Linked DNA regions of Macaca mulatta. The protein of the gene in region 2 binds, or shares a complex with, the protein of the main gene of each other region. Links are inferred from orthologs where the notes say so. Each region holds a gene or a part of one and is shown on either strand. Other genes may lie near its edges.

Region 1 (7,536 bases), about 25 Mb from region 2:
TTTTGTTTGTTTTGAGACAAGAGTCTTGCTCTGTTGCCCAGGCTGGGGTGCAGTGACGAGATCTTGGCTCACTGCAGCCTCTGCCTCCCAGGTTCAGGGGATTCTCCTGCCTCAGTCTCCCAAGTAGGTGAGATTACAGGCGCGCACCACCACACCCAGCTAATTTTTGTATTTTTAGTAGAGATAGGATTTTGCCATGTGGCCAACCAGTCTCAAACTCTTGACCTCAGGTGATCCGCCCGCCTCAGCCTCCCAAAGTGTTGGGATTACAGGCATGAGCCACCATACCCAGCCGCGTATGAGAATTTTGATATCCTGGGAAGGTCCTAGAACCAATTCCCCATGGATATCAAGGGATGACTATACAGACACAGAAAAAAATTATAAAGAAATCTATCAAAATGCTAACCACGGTTTATCTGAGAGGTGGGATAGTGGGTGATTTTATTTTCTTTTTGCTTTTCGTAATAAATAAATTTCCTTCCAAAATATGTGTTACTTTATAAAATTAAAGTCATTTAAACACTTATGAAGTTGATATATTAATGTTCCTTCTTCCTATGGTCACTGCCTTACCTGTGGTTTAATCAGTCTATCAGGCCTACAGGCCTGACTGAAAGTTGCAATCTTCTCTTTCACCCCTTTTCTTAAATCTTGAAGTCTGGCAAATATGTATCAAGAACCTGGAAGAAGTAGAAAAGTAATGAAACAGGTTCCAAGTTCTCTGTAGTAAAAAAAGGGTTAACAGGCCGGGAGCAGTGGCTCACACCTATAATCCCAGCACTTTGGAAGGCCAAGTCAGGTGGATCACTTTAGGTCAGGGGTTCAAGACCAGCCTGGCCAACATGGTGAAACCCCATCTCTACTAAAAATACAAAAATTAGGCTGGGCGCGGTGGCTCACGCCTGTAATCCTAGCACTTTGGGAGGCCAAGGCAGGCAGGAGATCAAGACCATCCTGGCTAACACAGTGAAACCCCGTCTCTACTAAACATACAAAAAAATTAGCCGGGTGTGGTGGCACGTGCCTGTAGTTCCAGCTACTTGAGAGGCTGAGGCAGGAGAATTGCTTGAACCTGGGAGACAGTGGTTGCAGTGAACCAAGACCACACCATCGCACTCCAGCCTAGGCAACAGAGTGAGACACCATCTCAAAAAAAAAAACAAAAAACAAAACACAAAAATTAGCCAGGTGTGGTGACAGGTCCCTATAATCCCAACTATTCGAGAGGCTGAGGTAGGAAAATTGCTTAAACAGGGGAGGCAGAAGTTGCAGTGAGCTGAAATCTCAAAAAAAAAACTCTATATATAGTCAATTTTGCTTCCTAACTTTACTCATAGCAAAGAAAATTAAGTATGTCAAAGGGCATTTAACTCTCCCTCCTCTTTCTCCCAGGAATTCAAAGAGAATTAGGGAAGATAGGCCGGGCGCGGTGGCTCAAGCCTGTAATCCCAGTACTTTGGGAGGCCGAGGCGGGTGGATCACGAAGTCAGGAGATCGAGACCATCCTGGCTAACATGGTGAAACCCCGTCTCTACTAAAAAATACAAAAAACTAGCCGGGCGTGGTGGCGGGCGCCTGTAGTCCCAGCTACTCGGGAGGCTGAGGCAGGAGAATGGCGTAAACCCGGGAGGCGGAGCTTGCAGTGAGCCGAGATCGTGCCACTGCACTCCAGCCTGGGTCACACAGCGAGACTCCGTCTCAAAAAAAAAAAAAAAAAAAAAAAAAGAATTAGGGAAGAGACCCAGAAAAAGCTGAAGGAAAATTAACCAACAGATGTAGACGAACTCTGAAAATCTGGTACCTAAACAAGAAATGAAGGACTCTCTCACATAATCCTGGACAATCTTAACTGCAATAAATTAATTTTATCAAGGTTGAAATACACAGATTTAAGCATAAGGTTAGCCAGATAAACCCTATTCAGCTAATTTGAAAGTCTAAACAAAATTACCAACCTAGTTGAGTACAATCCAGTTTTTCATACCCGCAATTTTGTAGTCAATTCAGATAGTGCCTTCCTGCCTAGTCAATTCAACAGGTATTTAGTGGGTGATTCCTATGTACCAGGATTGTTTCAGTCCCTGTCTAACCAAACTCTTGCTTATCAAGAATTAGGCAAGGGTGGCTTTGTGAAGCACAGAAACACAAACTGGCTCTTGATCTCCCTCACCTCTAAATTGTCCGGACACTTAGAATACAAAACAGTAGAGCACTCAGATGGTGTCCTGTCTTGTTCTGATTCTCACTTGCCAATTTCAAACCATGTTTTTGTCCCCAAACACACCAAAAAACCTTTGAGTTCATCACACATCTGTATACCCATATCTCATGCCAATCTGAGCACGCAGTACCCTCAAAGGACAACTAAATGGCCGAGTTAGCTGAGAGCCACATAATTTTGATCCAAGAATGCCAGCTTAATACTGAACTGACTCATCCATCCAACCAGGGGGACGGACTTAAGTCTGACATGGGGGTGGTGTAATACACTAAGGCCACAATACAAGAACATCCTTATAGTCCTATTTTTGACAACATTTGATGAGTGAGAGAAATTCAAAGAGAGGCCATAGGATGTCAAGAAAAGGTAAGGGTGAACCAGGGAGTAAACCAAGAGCTGGTCTTAAAGCAAAATCTAGGAGTCAAAAATCCTTTTCTATCCTAAGTAGGCCTGATTTGGGGAAGTCCATGTTACTGAACTACCAGAAAATTATATGTGGAAAACAAGACGTTATATGTCAAGAAAATAGGGGGTAAACCAATTCTACAATATTATAACCTGGTTTGGTTTTCCTTCCCCCCTCCAATCTATAAATGTTGAGAAAGGAAATGAGAAAGGGAATAATATCTGGTGATTCCATACAAAAAGAGAGAGCTGGACAAATATGGATAACATATAATGAATTTTAAATCCCAAATAGAAGACAACTCCAAATGGACTTAAACTCTCCCTCAATTATGTTCTCACACCATCTAATCATCTTTCTGTTTTAGATAACAGTTTTGAAATGTCCTTATTTGTGACTACCTCTGTTTTCCTCCATCAAACGCCACACTTCCTGAGGGCAGGGCTACTGTATCACCCATTTCTCGAAATTTATCTAGATTCTGGCCCACAGTTTCCTCCTCCTACCTCCTTCCTCCGTTTCCGTCAAGAGGGACCAAGAATAGCACCAACTACATTGGCTTGGCCAGGAAATTAGATGAGAACGGGCACGCAGGGTACTTAGTTCAGTCAATGTTTATAACCTGTTAGCATGGTAATAATAATTATCGTTACCTTTATTAGACGATAGCCTCCCGCAACTCCTTTTCCCCCCAGTTTCCCGGACGGACTTCAGAGCAAAATCCTGTCGCCAAGAGAAGGGTGGCCCGAAGCCCCCGCTCGCACCCTGCCCCGCCTAGGCGGCGACCGAGCACCGCAACCGCCTCAGAAGCCAGGCCTACCCGCGCGAACTGCGCTAGGAGCTGGAAGGTGAACTTCAGCCATTCCAAACTCCGGGAGGAGGGACACCCGCGCCCCAGCTGCTCCCTCTTTTCTTCCCGCGGCTCACCTAGCCTCTCCTCAGTTCTGACAACGAAGCGCCAGCCAACCCGCCGCGGGACTCATTCAGTATCGTTGAAATTTTGAACCCAGGCAGCCTAGTCGAATGCACCAATCAGAGCTCCAGGAAAGCAATTCCAGGCTCCCGATTGGCCCTACAGAGAGCAGCAATACCGGAAGTCAGAAGGCGGTACCAGCGAACAACGAGGCCGGGAGTTCCCGGGAAGTGTAGTCTCCTGCGCCTGCGTGAGTCCACTGGACCAGCCCTTAGGAGTAAATTACTACGAAGACCGGAGTGCTCTGCTCCAAACTCTTTGGGAAAGGTGGTACCAACTGAAGAGGTGGAAAGTCGACTTAGATCACAGAATGGCGCGCATCCTGGACATCCCCAGGCTTTCAGGGAATAAAACTTTATTTTTAAAAATTATTCTTGTTATGGTTGTGCATTATCCCTTGAAGGTTCAGAGGAGTTCACTCGTCTTAACGTGGAGTCTCCTGCAAGCAACATAGACTCGCCCGTAGCGTCCTTCCCAACCGTGCAAGTGTCTTCTCAAACCTTTTACCCAGGCCCTGCCCTGATCTTGTTCGTTGGGTGCTTTATCCGGTTTTATTCCCAACTGCATTCCGGCTTTATGATCCCCATGTGGTAAAAAGAAAACAAAGGCTCGGAGAAGTTGAACAAACATGTCCAAAATCATATAATAGATGGAGAAGACGGGATTCGAATGAAGAAGGTCTGTTCTTTTTATACATCACCGATAATTAATTAGAGGCCAGGCTTCGTGGCCCTCACCTGTAATCCCAGCTACTCAGGAGGCTAAAGCAGAAGGATCTATGAGACCAAGAGTTCCAGAACAGCGTAGATATCATAACGAGACCACCCCCACCATCTTAATTTTTTTTAATCAATTAGAAAATAGAAGCAACAAGCACAACAAAACAACCCCCTTCATAATACCAGCAAAAGCTAAAGATTCAAAACTTTAGCTCTAGGCTGGGCGCGGTGGCTCACGCATGTAATCCCAGCACTTTGGGAGGCCGAGATACGCAGATCATTTGAGGCGACGAGTTCAAGACCAGCCTGGCCAAAATGTTGAAACCCCCATCTCTACTAAAAATACAAAAATTAGCTGGGCGTGCTGGCGCGGGCCTGTAATCACAGCTACTTGGGAGGCTGAGGCAGGAGAATCACTTGAACCCGGGAGGTGGAGGTTGCAGTGAGCCAAGATTGCACCACTGCACCCCAGCCTGGGCGACAGAGCAAGACTCTTCTCAAAACAAAACAAAAAAAAAAAGGTCGAGGCAATTCCAATGAAAGTCCCAGTGGGTTCTGTTCTGGAATTTGCCAAGTTAATTCTAAAGTTCCTATGGAAGAGCAAAAGCACAAGTAGTGGCATCTTGAATTTTTTTTTTTTTTTTTTTTTTTTTTAGACGGAGTCTCGCTCTGTCGCCCAGGCTGGAGTGCAGTGGCCGGATCTCAGCTCACTGCAAGCTCCGCCTCCCGGGTTCACGCCATTCTCCTGCCTCAGCCTCCCGAGTAGCTGGGACTACAGGCGCCCGCCACCTCGCCCGGCTAGTTTTTTGTATTTTTTTAGTAGAGACGGGGTTTCACCGTGTTAGCCAGGATGGTCTCGATCTCCCAACCTCGTGATCCGCCCGTCTCGGCCTCCCAAAGTGCTGGGATTACAGGCTTGAGCCACCGCGCCCGGCCAGCATCTTGAATTTTGAAAAAGATTGGGGAAATTGACATACCAGATTTTGTACATATTAACATGAAATTATAGTAATTTTTAAAGTATGGTTCAACACGCACGGGGGGCAATCAGCAAAATCCAGACAGGAAAACCACAGGACAAATGATTTAGTTTATTCAAAACATAAACTGCCAAGAGTTTGGTTTTGTTTTCTTTTCGTTGTTGTTGTTTTGTCTTGTTTTGTTTTGTTTGGTTTTTTGAGACGGAGTTTCATTATTGTAGCCCAGGCTGGAGTGCAACGGTTCGATCTCGGCTCACTCTAAGCTCAGCCTCCCGGTTTCTCCTGCCTCAACCTCCCAAGTAGCTAGGATTACAGGCACACGCTACCACACCTGGCTAATTTTTTAATATTTTTTTGGTAGAGACGGGGTTTCACCATGTTGGCCAGGCTGGTCTTGAACTCTTGACCTCGGGTGATCCCCCTGCCTCACCCTCCCAAATGCTGGGACTACAGGCATGAGCCACCACACCTTTTCTTTTCTTTTTTAAGAGTCCTGGCCTGGCGCGGTGGCTCAAGCCTGTAATCCCAGCACTTTGGGAGGCCGAGGCGGGTGGATCACGAGGTCAGGAGATCAAGACTATCCTGGCTAACATGGTGAAACCCCGTCTCTACTAAAAATACAAAAAACTAGCCGGGCGTGGTGGCGGGCGCCTGTAGTCTCAGCTACTTGGGAGGCTGAGGCGGGAGAATGGCGTGAACCCGGGAGGCGGAGCTTGCAGTGAGCCGAGATCACGCCACTGCACTCCAGCCTGGGAGACACAGCGAGACTCCGTCTCAAAAAAAATAAATAAATAAAATAAAAAAAAGAGTCCTTGTGTTGTAGAGATACATAGAGATATGGTAGGGATGAAATTACTCTGGCACCTGCTTCCAAATAATTGGGAGTAGGCAGTGAAGATAAGTAGGTGGGGATTTAGATGAAACAAGATTAGCTACAAAATGATAATTGTTGAACCTGGTGATGGGTTCATGATACATAAATACATACATATACTCTTGTATGAGTTTGAAATTTTCCACAGTTAAAATGAGGTGGTTGCCTGATGCAGTGGCTCACACCTGTAATCCCAGCACTTTGGGATGCCAAGGCAGGTGGATGATTTGAGGTCAGGAGTTTGAGACCAGCCTGGACAACATAGTGAAAACCTGTCTCTACTAAAAATACAAAAAATTAGCCAGGCATGGTGGCGGGTGCCTGTAATCCCAGCTACTTGGAAGGCTGAGGCAGGAGAATCACTTGAATCCGGGAGGCAGAGGTTGCAGTGAGCTGAGATCACACCATTGCAGTCCAGCCTGGGCGACAGAGCAAGACTCTATCTCAAAAAAAAAAAAAAAAAAAAAGGCCGGGCGCGGTGGCTCAAGCCTGTAATCCCAGCACTTTGGGAGGCCGAGACAGGTGGATCACAAGGTCAGGAGATCGAGACCATCCTGGCTAACCCGGTGAAACCCCGTCTCTACTAAAAAATACAAAAAACTAGCCGGGCGAGGTGGCGGGCGCCTGTAGTCCCAGCTACTCGGGAGGCTGAGGCAGGAGAATGGCATAAACCCGGGAGGCGGAGCTTGCAGTGAGCTGAGATCTGGCCACTGCACTCCAGCCTGGGCGACAGAGCGAGACTCCGTCTCAAAAAAAAAAAAAAAAAAAAAAAAGTGGGGGGATGGGGGAGTAGTGGTTGTTGTTGTGGTGGTTGTTTTGTTGTTTTGAGATAGGGTCTTGCTGTCACCCAGGCTGGAGTGCAGTGGCAGGATCACAGCTCACTCTAACCCCAACCTCCCAGATTCAAGTGATCTTCCCACCTCAGCCTCCCAAAGTTCTGGGATTACAGGCATGAGCCACCGCACCTTGTCTAAAAAGAGATATTTTTGCTGGGCACGGTGACTCATGCCTGTAATCCCAGCACTTTGGGAGGTCAAGGTGGCCAGATCACCCAAGGTCGGGAGTTCAAGACCAGCCTGACCAACATGGAGAAACCCCATCTCTACTAAAAATAGAAAATTATTCTGGCGTGGTGGCAGGCACCTGTATTCCCAGCTACTCCGGAGTCTGAGGCAGGAGAATCGCTTGAACCGGGGAGGTGGAGGTTGTGGTGAGCCAGGATCGCGCCATTGCACTCCAGCCTGGGCAATAAGAGTGAAACTCCCTCTCAAAAATAAATAAATAAATAAATAGAGGTATTTTTAAGTATGGTATTGTCATAGAAGTTAAAAGTGGGGGAAATCAGTAGAAGAGTTTAAGA
Region 2 (7,370 bases):
ACTTGCCTTGGTATCCCAAAGTGCTGGGATTACAGGCGTGAGCCTTGAAATGTATTATTTATACGCCTGTAAGTACTGTATTACAAGCTTAAATAGTTAAGTTAACTCTAACACCCTGAGCTAATCAAACTAAAAGGGGTAGGAGGGATGAGATTTCCTCCAGCTTCAACAGCTCATTGTAAGTGAGGGGCAAGTGCTAGAAATGAAAGCCTAAAAGTCCATCCCCAGCTCAATGGTATGAGTGCTCTACAAAGACAGGGTGTTAAGACTTCCAAATTCAAAGTCAGTTACTCCTGAAATTAGTACACTGTCCACAACATAGTAGGCATTCCAAGACAAATATAAAGAAACATTTTAAATGTAGAGCAATTTTTTAAATAGCCGTTATCATAGGAACTGAGAATCAAAAACAGTAATTCAAGGTAGCCTTTTCTAATTATTTTATATTTATGGCCAATTTTAAAAGTTTTGGACTCCTGCTGGATGCATTATTACTATTATCTTGCATACAACAGAGGGATATAGAAACTTAAGCAGCCAATTATAAGACAAAGCAGAACCAAAAAGCTACTCTAAGAATCAGCAAAATGTTACCGAACACAAGAAAAGTGACTAATTTATATCCAGGGGCACAGTAAGGGATCTAAATTTATAATCCAAAGTAAAGGTGGAAAGAATTCCCAACAAGACCAACCTCCATGTGGGTTTATAAATGTGAATGAGATTACAGATTATTCAATTTACCTTAACAGGCCCTGAAATGCAGTTTTCTTTAGATCGGTCCATGATGCCTGAAAAGAAAAAGAAGAACCTTTAATTTGAACAAAGCCACCTGCTTAAAGTGCTGCTGCTTGATAGGCAGCGTTACAGTTCCCTGATCAAAAGGCCTCCACAACACACAGGATTTTACACTTTTTGTCCAAATGAAGCTAATGAGGGAGGGCCAGACATGTGCTTTCCCCGCAAGGCCAACCTCCCCTTGGGCACTGCATCCCATCCTCTCTCACACGGAGTCTTCACTCCTGATGGTCTTGCGGCTCCATCATCTCTCTTCTAACGGATCACTTCCATCCCTGTGCAGCCTGCTGGCATACCTGCTACCTTAAAAAAGTCCTCTTTAGGCCGGGCATGGTGACTCACGCCTGTAATCCCAGCACTTTTGGAAGCCGAGGCGGGCGGATCACCTGAGGTCAGGAGTTCGAGACCAGCCTGGCCAACATGGTGAAACCCCGTCTCTGCTAAAAATACAAAAATTAGCTGGGTGTGGTGGCGGGCGCCTGTAATCCCAGCTATTTGGGAGGCTGAGGCAGGAGAATCGCTTGAACCCAGGAGGCGGAGGTTGCAGTGAGCTGAGATCATGCCATTGCACTCCAGCCTGGGGGACAAGAGTGAGACTTTTTCTCAAAAAAAAAAAAAAATAGAATAAAATAGTCCTCTTTATTGTATTATCTTTGCTAACCATGACCCCCTCCTCTCCAACAGCAAAGCTCCAGAAGAACCATCCACACTTGCCACTTCTACTCCTCCTCTCCCCTCCCCTGAGCCCATCCCCACCCAGCTTTTTTGCCTCCACCACATCATCAGGCTCATGGCTGACACCTACTGTTGCCAAACCCAAGGGTCAATTCCACCTTCCTCGTACTTGCATCCTCAGCAGAATCCGACAAGGTTGATCACATCTTACACCTTTTTCTTCACTTCACTTCCAGGTTTATCTACCACCTAGTCATCCTATCTTTCCCTCCTTGCTGGGTCACTCTCATTGTTGCCCGATCAAGGGTCTGGGGTGACTAAAGAATGAGTCCCTGGACCCTCCACTTCTCCATCTACACCTTCACAGGAATCCATATCACCGAGTGCCTCAGCTCTAAATGCCTTCATGAGGACCTCTCAAAGTGCATCTTCTGCCCCAATCTCACCTTGGACTGTCAGACTTGGATATCCAAGGATTTGTCCAGGATCTCCCAGAAATGTCTGCCAGGCACCTCAATCCTAACATATCCAAAACCGAACCGCTTCCCTTCTCCACTTCTCACCTCCCTGTTCATGGGTGTGCCCTGAGCTCACGCCTAGAACGACTTCTCCATCTCCAATTACTCCCTAGCCAAGTACATCCAGTCTCTTTGCTTTCAATACCATCTACAGGCTGAGGACTCCCAAATATTCATTCTTCAGCCCAGACCTCTCCTCTGAACTCCTGATCTACATTTTCTACTTTCTACGCAACATCTGCACCTGATTATCTGAGAGGCATCTCCATTTTAACATGTCCCAAACAGAAGTCCTAATCCCTCCACACTCTCACCTCCCCAAATCTAGTCTCTAGATATCCTCATCCCAGTTGATGGCAAATCCATCCTGCCAGTTGCTCAGGCCAAAAGCCTTGGCATAATAACCCTTTAAGAGGTTTCTCTCTCTCTCAAACCCCTCATCTAATCCACGAGCATATTCTGTAGGCTCTGCCTTCAAGATCACTGCTCAGAACCTCTACTACTACCACCTGGTCAAACCGTAATTCTCCTTTGAATTTTTTGCAACGGCCTCCCAATGGCCTCCCGACTTCCAACCTTACCCCGTTATGGTCCATTCTCAACACTGAGGCCAACAATCTCATTAACAAGTCAGATGTGTTGGTCCTTGGTTCAGAAGACCCCCATGGCTCCCCAACTCAATCAAAACAATGCAAACTCCTAACCTGCATAGACAGGCCTATTGAAGTCTCACAGAACATGGACCCTAACTGCCTCTCTGACTTCATCTCTTCTTCTCGATTGTGCACCAGCCACACAAGGCTTCTTTCTTTCCTCAAACAAGTCCCCTGCCATAGGCATTTGCACTTCTTGCTCCCTTTATTAGGCTTTTCCCCCAGGTGTGTAGTTCAGTCTTTCATTTCACAGAGGTTTCTCTTTTTTTTGAGATGGAGTTTTGCTCTTGTTGCCCAGGCTGGAGTGCAGTGGCACAATCTCGGCTCACCCACAACCTCCACCTCCCGGGTTCAAGCAATTCTCCTGCCTCAGCCTCCGGAGTAGCTGGGATTACGGGCATATGCCACCACGCCCAGCTAATTTTGTATTTTTAGTAGAGACGGGGTTTCTCCATGTTGGTTGGGCTGGTCTGGAACTCCCCACCTCAGGTGATCCACCCGTCTCGGACTCCCAAAATGCTGGGATTACAGGCATGAGCCACCATGCGCAGCCTTCACTGAAGTTTCTTATCAAATGTCCCCACACTCCAGCCTGGGCAACGGAGTGAGACCCTGTCTCAAAAAAAAATTAAAATTGCCATTTTACAATTAAGCAAATAACTCCATGATGAAGCTAGGCCCAGACTACAGGCGGGAGCCCTTATGAAAAAACAGTGGGTAAGTTAAAAAGTTAATAAACAGCAGCAAGGAAATGCCCACTTGTGTAATCATTTAATTTCACACATGCTCTAATGCTTTACTTCCCTTACAATTACAAGTAGCAGTCTAATGAGATCACAGAGGCCTAACAACATTTATTTAACATTCTTCTGACAGAAGCTACAGGCATTTGCTCCAATTTATTCTACTTTTCTTTCTAGGGAAATTGAGTAACAAGCAGAATGGAATAAGATTCTAATCCAGAATTCTGGAGACAACGCCAATAAGACTGCCCTTCAGGTGACTCTAATCTGCAACCAGATGACTTTCACAGGATCTATTCAGTTCACACCAGAAATCCTACCACTGTGAATAGAAAAGCTGTTAGGCTAATAGCACAGGAGGTTTATACGGGTTTGTTCCTTCCTCCTTCAGACCTGTGCATGTCTGCAGAGATGAAGGGAAGGACGAATTGAGTAGGTTGCTGAAAAACGTTTAATTCAAGGGACAAGGAAGGTTAAGGAAGAGGAAGAGACATTACGAGTTAACGACAGTGGCTACGTCTACCTCAGCCGGAGGGATCTTAGAAATGGAGACTCTGAGGCCCAACCCCAGGTCTAGGAAAACAGATTCTGCATTTTAACATCCCCAGACGATTTGCATGCACCGGTCTGCATCCCTAGTTCTCAATGAAATCAAAGAATCATCTGGAGAGTTTGCTAATAACTAGACACCTGGGTCCTATCCCTCAGAGATTCTGATTTTCCGGGCTCTCGGTGGAGCTATATTTTTAACAAGGCTCTCCAAGTTATCCCGATATAACTACTTCAAGGTCTACGGTCTGAGAAGTACGGACCGGGAAGGCCTCTGCAAGGAGGTTCTCATTCATCAATTCACCCACTCATCCAGCCAGGACAAGGGCCTTCCTAGGCTATTCTGTCTAAAGCGGCCCCCGTTAAACCGCACTCCTGCTTTTCCCTTATAACACCCACCCCAGTTGCAAGTTCTCTGTACGCTTACCGTCTGACTCCCTACCCACTAGAACGTGAACTCCAACACAGCAGCGACCTTCTGTGCTTTTCTTACCCAGGTGATCTCCGAGAACAAAATCCAATCTGACGCTCACCCACCCCTCCCGCGCGTGTCAACACCACTCAACAAACCCCTTCTACCTCTAGCTGTAATAAGTAACAAGCAGTGTCTTACAGGGCGCCTCGGTGCCCAAGAGCGGATGCAAAGGCACTGGGCGGGCACAGGGTAGCGCCAAGGACACCCAGGGACGGAGGAACCGAGAGGGGACTTGACGCTCCGCCACTCCGGCCGGCCGCCCCTTGTCCCCGCCGCCCTCGTCGCCACTGAGATATCCCCCACGGTCTACCCACCCGTCGGCTCCCACCTGCGACCCAAAGACCCGAGTCTTCCAAGAGCTCAGCCGTTAGAATTCAAAGGTTCTTCTTTTTAAATAGGAGTTAAACCCTCTAGCCAGAAAGCCGATTGGCCTGCACTCGAGCGAGGCTGCCTTGTGATTGGTTGACAACAAACCCGACGCCTTGAGTCGCGTTTAAGGCGCACACCGCGCGCAGGCGCACTTGCTCCTTGAGACCCCGGAAGTGGCGGAGCCAACGGCCAGCCAGACCCGTGGCAGTGCCAGCCCCAGGGTACTCTCCGGGGTCGGCCATTTATCGGTGAGGCAGCAGCCCCTTGACGTCAAGCTTGTCGCATTGGAGATAAAGTCCGAGGGGGTGAACTAACCTTTTGAACGTGCCAGTAAGTAAGATGGCGAGAAAAGCAAGCGAGAGTGCGACCGATCGATAGCGCAGCGGTCGGCTTGGCGCCCTTTCAGCGTGCGCAGTGAATGTGCGCTCGGAGCGGTCGATTGGGCAGGATTCGCGCCTCCATTTTTCCAGGAGAGAGCGGGATACCGAGAGAACCGGACCAGCTGGTACTGGGGCACGGGGAGAGTGGCTGGTGCGGTCGGCTGGGGCGTTTAGCGAAAACCACAGAAACAACTGGGGCGAGACCGGAAGAGTCCAGAGTTAGCAAGATGGCATGCGCCTCTACTTTGTGCTTCCTAAGTTGCCCGGCTTGGCCTGCACCCCCTCCTCTTCCTCAAAGGGCCTCGCTTCCATTCCCACCCAGTCCTTAGTTCGCCTCTGCATCCAGATGGTCGCGGCGCATATAGTGAGGGGGCGTCTGTGTTCTAGCCTTTCCAACTGCGATGTAACCGGTCCTGGATCGGGTTCTTGTCCTCGTGTCTCCGTGTGCTCACCTGCAAATTGGGGATAATTAGGCTTCTGTTTACCTGGCGAGTGAACGTTCTGTGGGAGTTGAGAAGTTAGGACTGGGCCACCATAAAATATATATATACACATATATATATATACACACATACATGTATACATATATACACACAAATGTGTGTGTGTATATATATATTTGTACACCCGACATGTGCTCAGAAGTGAAGAGACCGGATAGAATAGTGGTGTAGGGGAGCCAAAAATGGCTTCCCTCCATCCTTCTAGGTACCTTATTAAGACTAAGAGTTAAATTACCATAAGACAAATTAACAGATTACTGCAGGATAAACAGGATGTGCATGTAAAGCATTGAACTGGCATACGGAAATTATTCAAGTCATATTAGCACGACATTAACAGTAGAATCTCTCATCAACTTTTCTTTGCCAGACTACCCACTTGTGATTTTCATTCTTTGTTGGTACTTAAGAATCTCCCATTTTTTTCGGGTCACTAAACATTGTCCATAGGAGAAAAACGATATTTAATTATGTACAGGAGTCCCACAAAATACGAGACTAAGAAGTTGAAGTCAGATGATTAAGGCTTACATGGCATCCTGAGCTACTGAAAGGAATGAATAGAGGGTTGGGGGCGGGTGGGAGGATGGTAAGCAGCAGCTGTAACACAAGTTATGGGAGGGTGAACGGAGGAAATGTATGGTGAATCAAGTTTGTTAATGCAGACAGAATAGGTGATCCTCTGGGTGGTGTCAACCTCTAATCTCCTCTCGTGATCCGAGTTAATCTTCCCTGGTTCCTATGATCTAAGTGAATCTTCCCTGGTTAATAAGGACAATTGAGGTATTTTTGGAGGGTCAGACTTTAGGCAGGTAAGGAAAGCACAGGGAAAGCCTCTTCCCGCCTGCTGTTCTCCAAGTGCCCTCAGTTCAAAGTAATCAGCCCGCCAAAGCATCTTGCTTTGGGCTGGCATTTCCTGAACTCCTTCAGTGGTTAAGCTCAGGGCTCTGGAGTTGGCAATTCTGGTGTGCTTTTAACCTTGGATAAGTAACTCAGCCACTTTTTACCTTGAGTAGGTGTTCTGACCTCCTTGAACCCATTTCATCATCTTTATTGTGTCCCAGGATTTTCTACTCAAGCATAGACTTATTATGTTCATGTACTACTTCATATACTTGAATACATTGAATGATTTTATTCAGTGAACTGATGCTTACAAAGTACTTAGCATGACGGTATCTGGCATGCAGGAAGTGCTTAATGTTGTTGGTTATTATTAACACCATCAGTGTCGTACAGTGTATAAGAAATAGACTCTGGGCCAGGCGCAGTGGCTCATGCCCATAATTCCAGCACTTTGGGAGGCTGAGGCAGGCAGATCACAAGGTCAGGAGTTCAAGACCAGCCTGGCCAATATTGTGAAACCCCGTCTCTACTAAAAATACGAAAATTAGCCAGGCGTGGTGGCACGTGCCTGTAGTCCCAGCTACTTGGGAGGCTGAGGCAGGAGAATAGCTTGAACCTGGGAGGCAGAGGTTGCAGTGAGCCGAGACTGGGCCACTGCCCTGCAGCCTGGGCGACAGAACGAGACTCCATCTCAAAAAGAAAAAAAAGAAAAAAGAAATCAGGCTCTGAGGTCGCTTTTATTCTTTATTGCTGTCCCCAGACACCTGTAGCCTTTTAATATTGGTTCAAACATACACATACATAAAGGCATTGATTTTTAGTAAGCAGATTATCATGTTCAACAGTTGGAGTTCTTTTTTG

Evidence for each region.
Region 1: the proteins of AURKA (region 2) and TPX2 are in contact, whole or in part, in a crystal structure (PDB 3HA6), measured with the Homo sapiens proteins. The link is inferred for Macaca mulatta from reciprocal best matches to the Homo sapiens genes AURKA and TPX2. Residues at the interface, in NP_001310232.1 of Homo sapiens: Lys125, Arg126, Gln127, Trp128, Asp132, Glu152, Gln154, Ser155, Phe157, Leu159, Lys166, Glu170, Gly173, Glu175, Leu178, Arg179, Val182, Glu183, Ile184, Ser186, His187, Leu188, Arg189, Tyr197, Gly198, Tyr199, His201, Val206, Tyr246, Ser249; in NP_036244.2 of Homo sapiens: Gln3, Lys5, Ser6, Ser7, Tyr8, Ser9, Tyr10, Asp11, Ala12, Pro13, Ser14, Asp15, Phe16, Ile17, Phe19, Ser20, Ile31, Asp32, Trp34, Phe35, Glu36, Lys38, Ala39.

Annotation. Positions count from the first base shown.
Region 1 is NC_133415.1:84,561,488-84,569,023, reverse strand, and holds the start of TPX2 (targeting protein for Xklp2), read right to left. Parts: upstream 3,987-7,536; 5' UTR 3,558-3,986; exon of another isoform or gene 3,284-3,557; intron 3,253-3,283; exon of another isoform or gene 3,137-3,252; intron 684-3,136; 5' UTR 577-683; intron 1-576. UniProt on the Homo sapiens protein: Spindle assembly factor required for normal assembly of mitotic spindles. Required for normal assembly of microtubules during apoptosis. Required for chromatin and/or kinetochore dependent microtubule nucleation.
Region 2 is NC_133415.1:109,157,110-109,164,479, forward strand, and holds the start of AURKA (aurora kinase A), read right to left. Parts: upstream 4,955-7,370; 5' UTR 4,740-4,954; exon of another isoform or gene 4,364-4,739; intron 792-4,363; 5' UTR 787-791; coding exon 745-786; intron 1-744. UniProt on the Homo sapiens protein: Mitotic serine/threonine kinase that contributes to the regulation of cell cycle progression.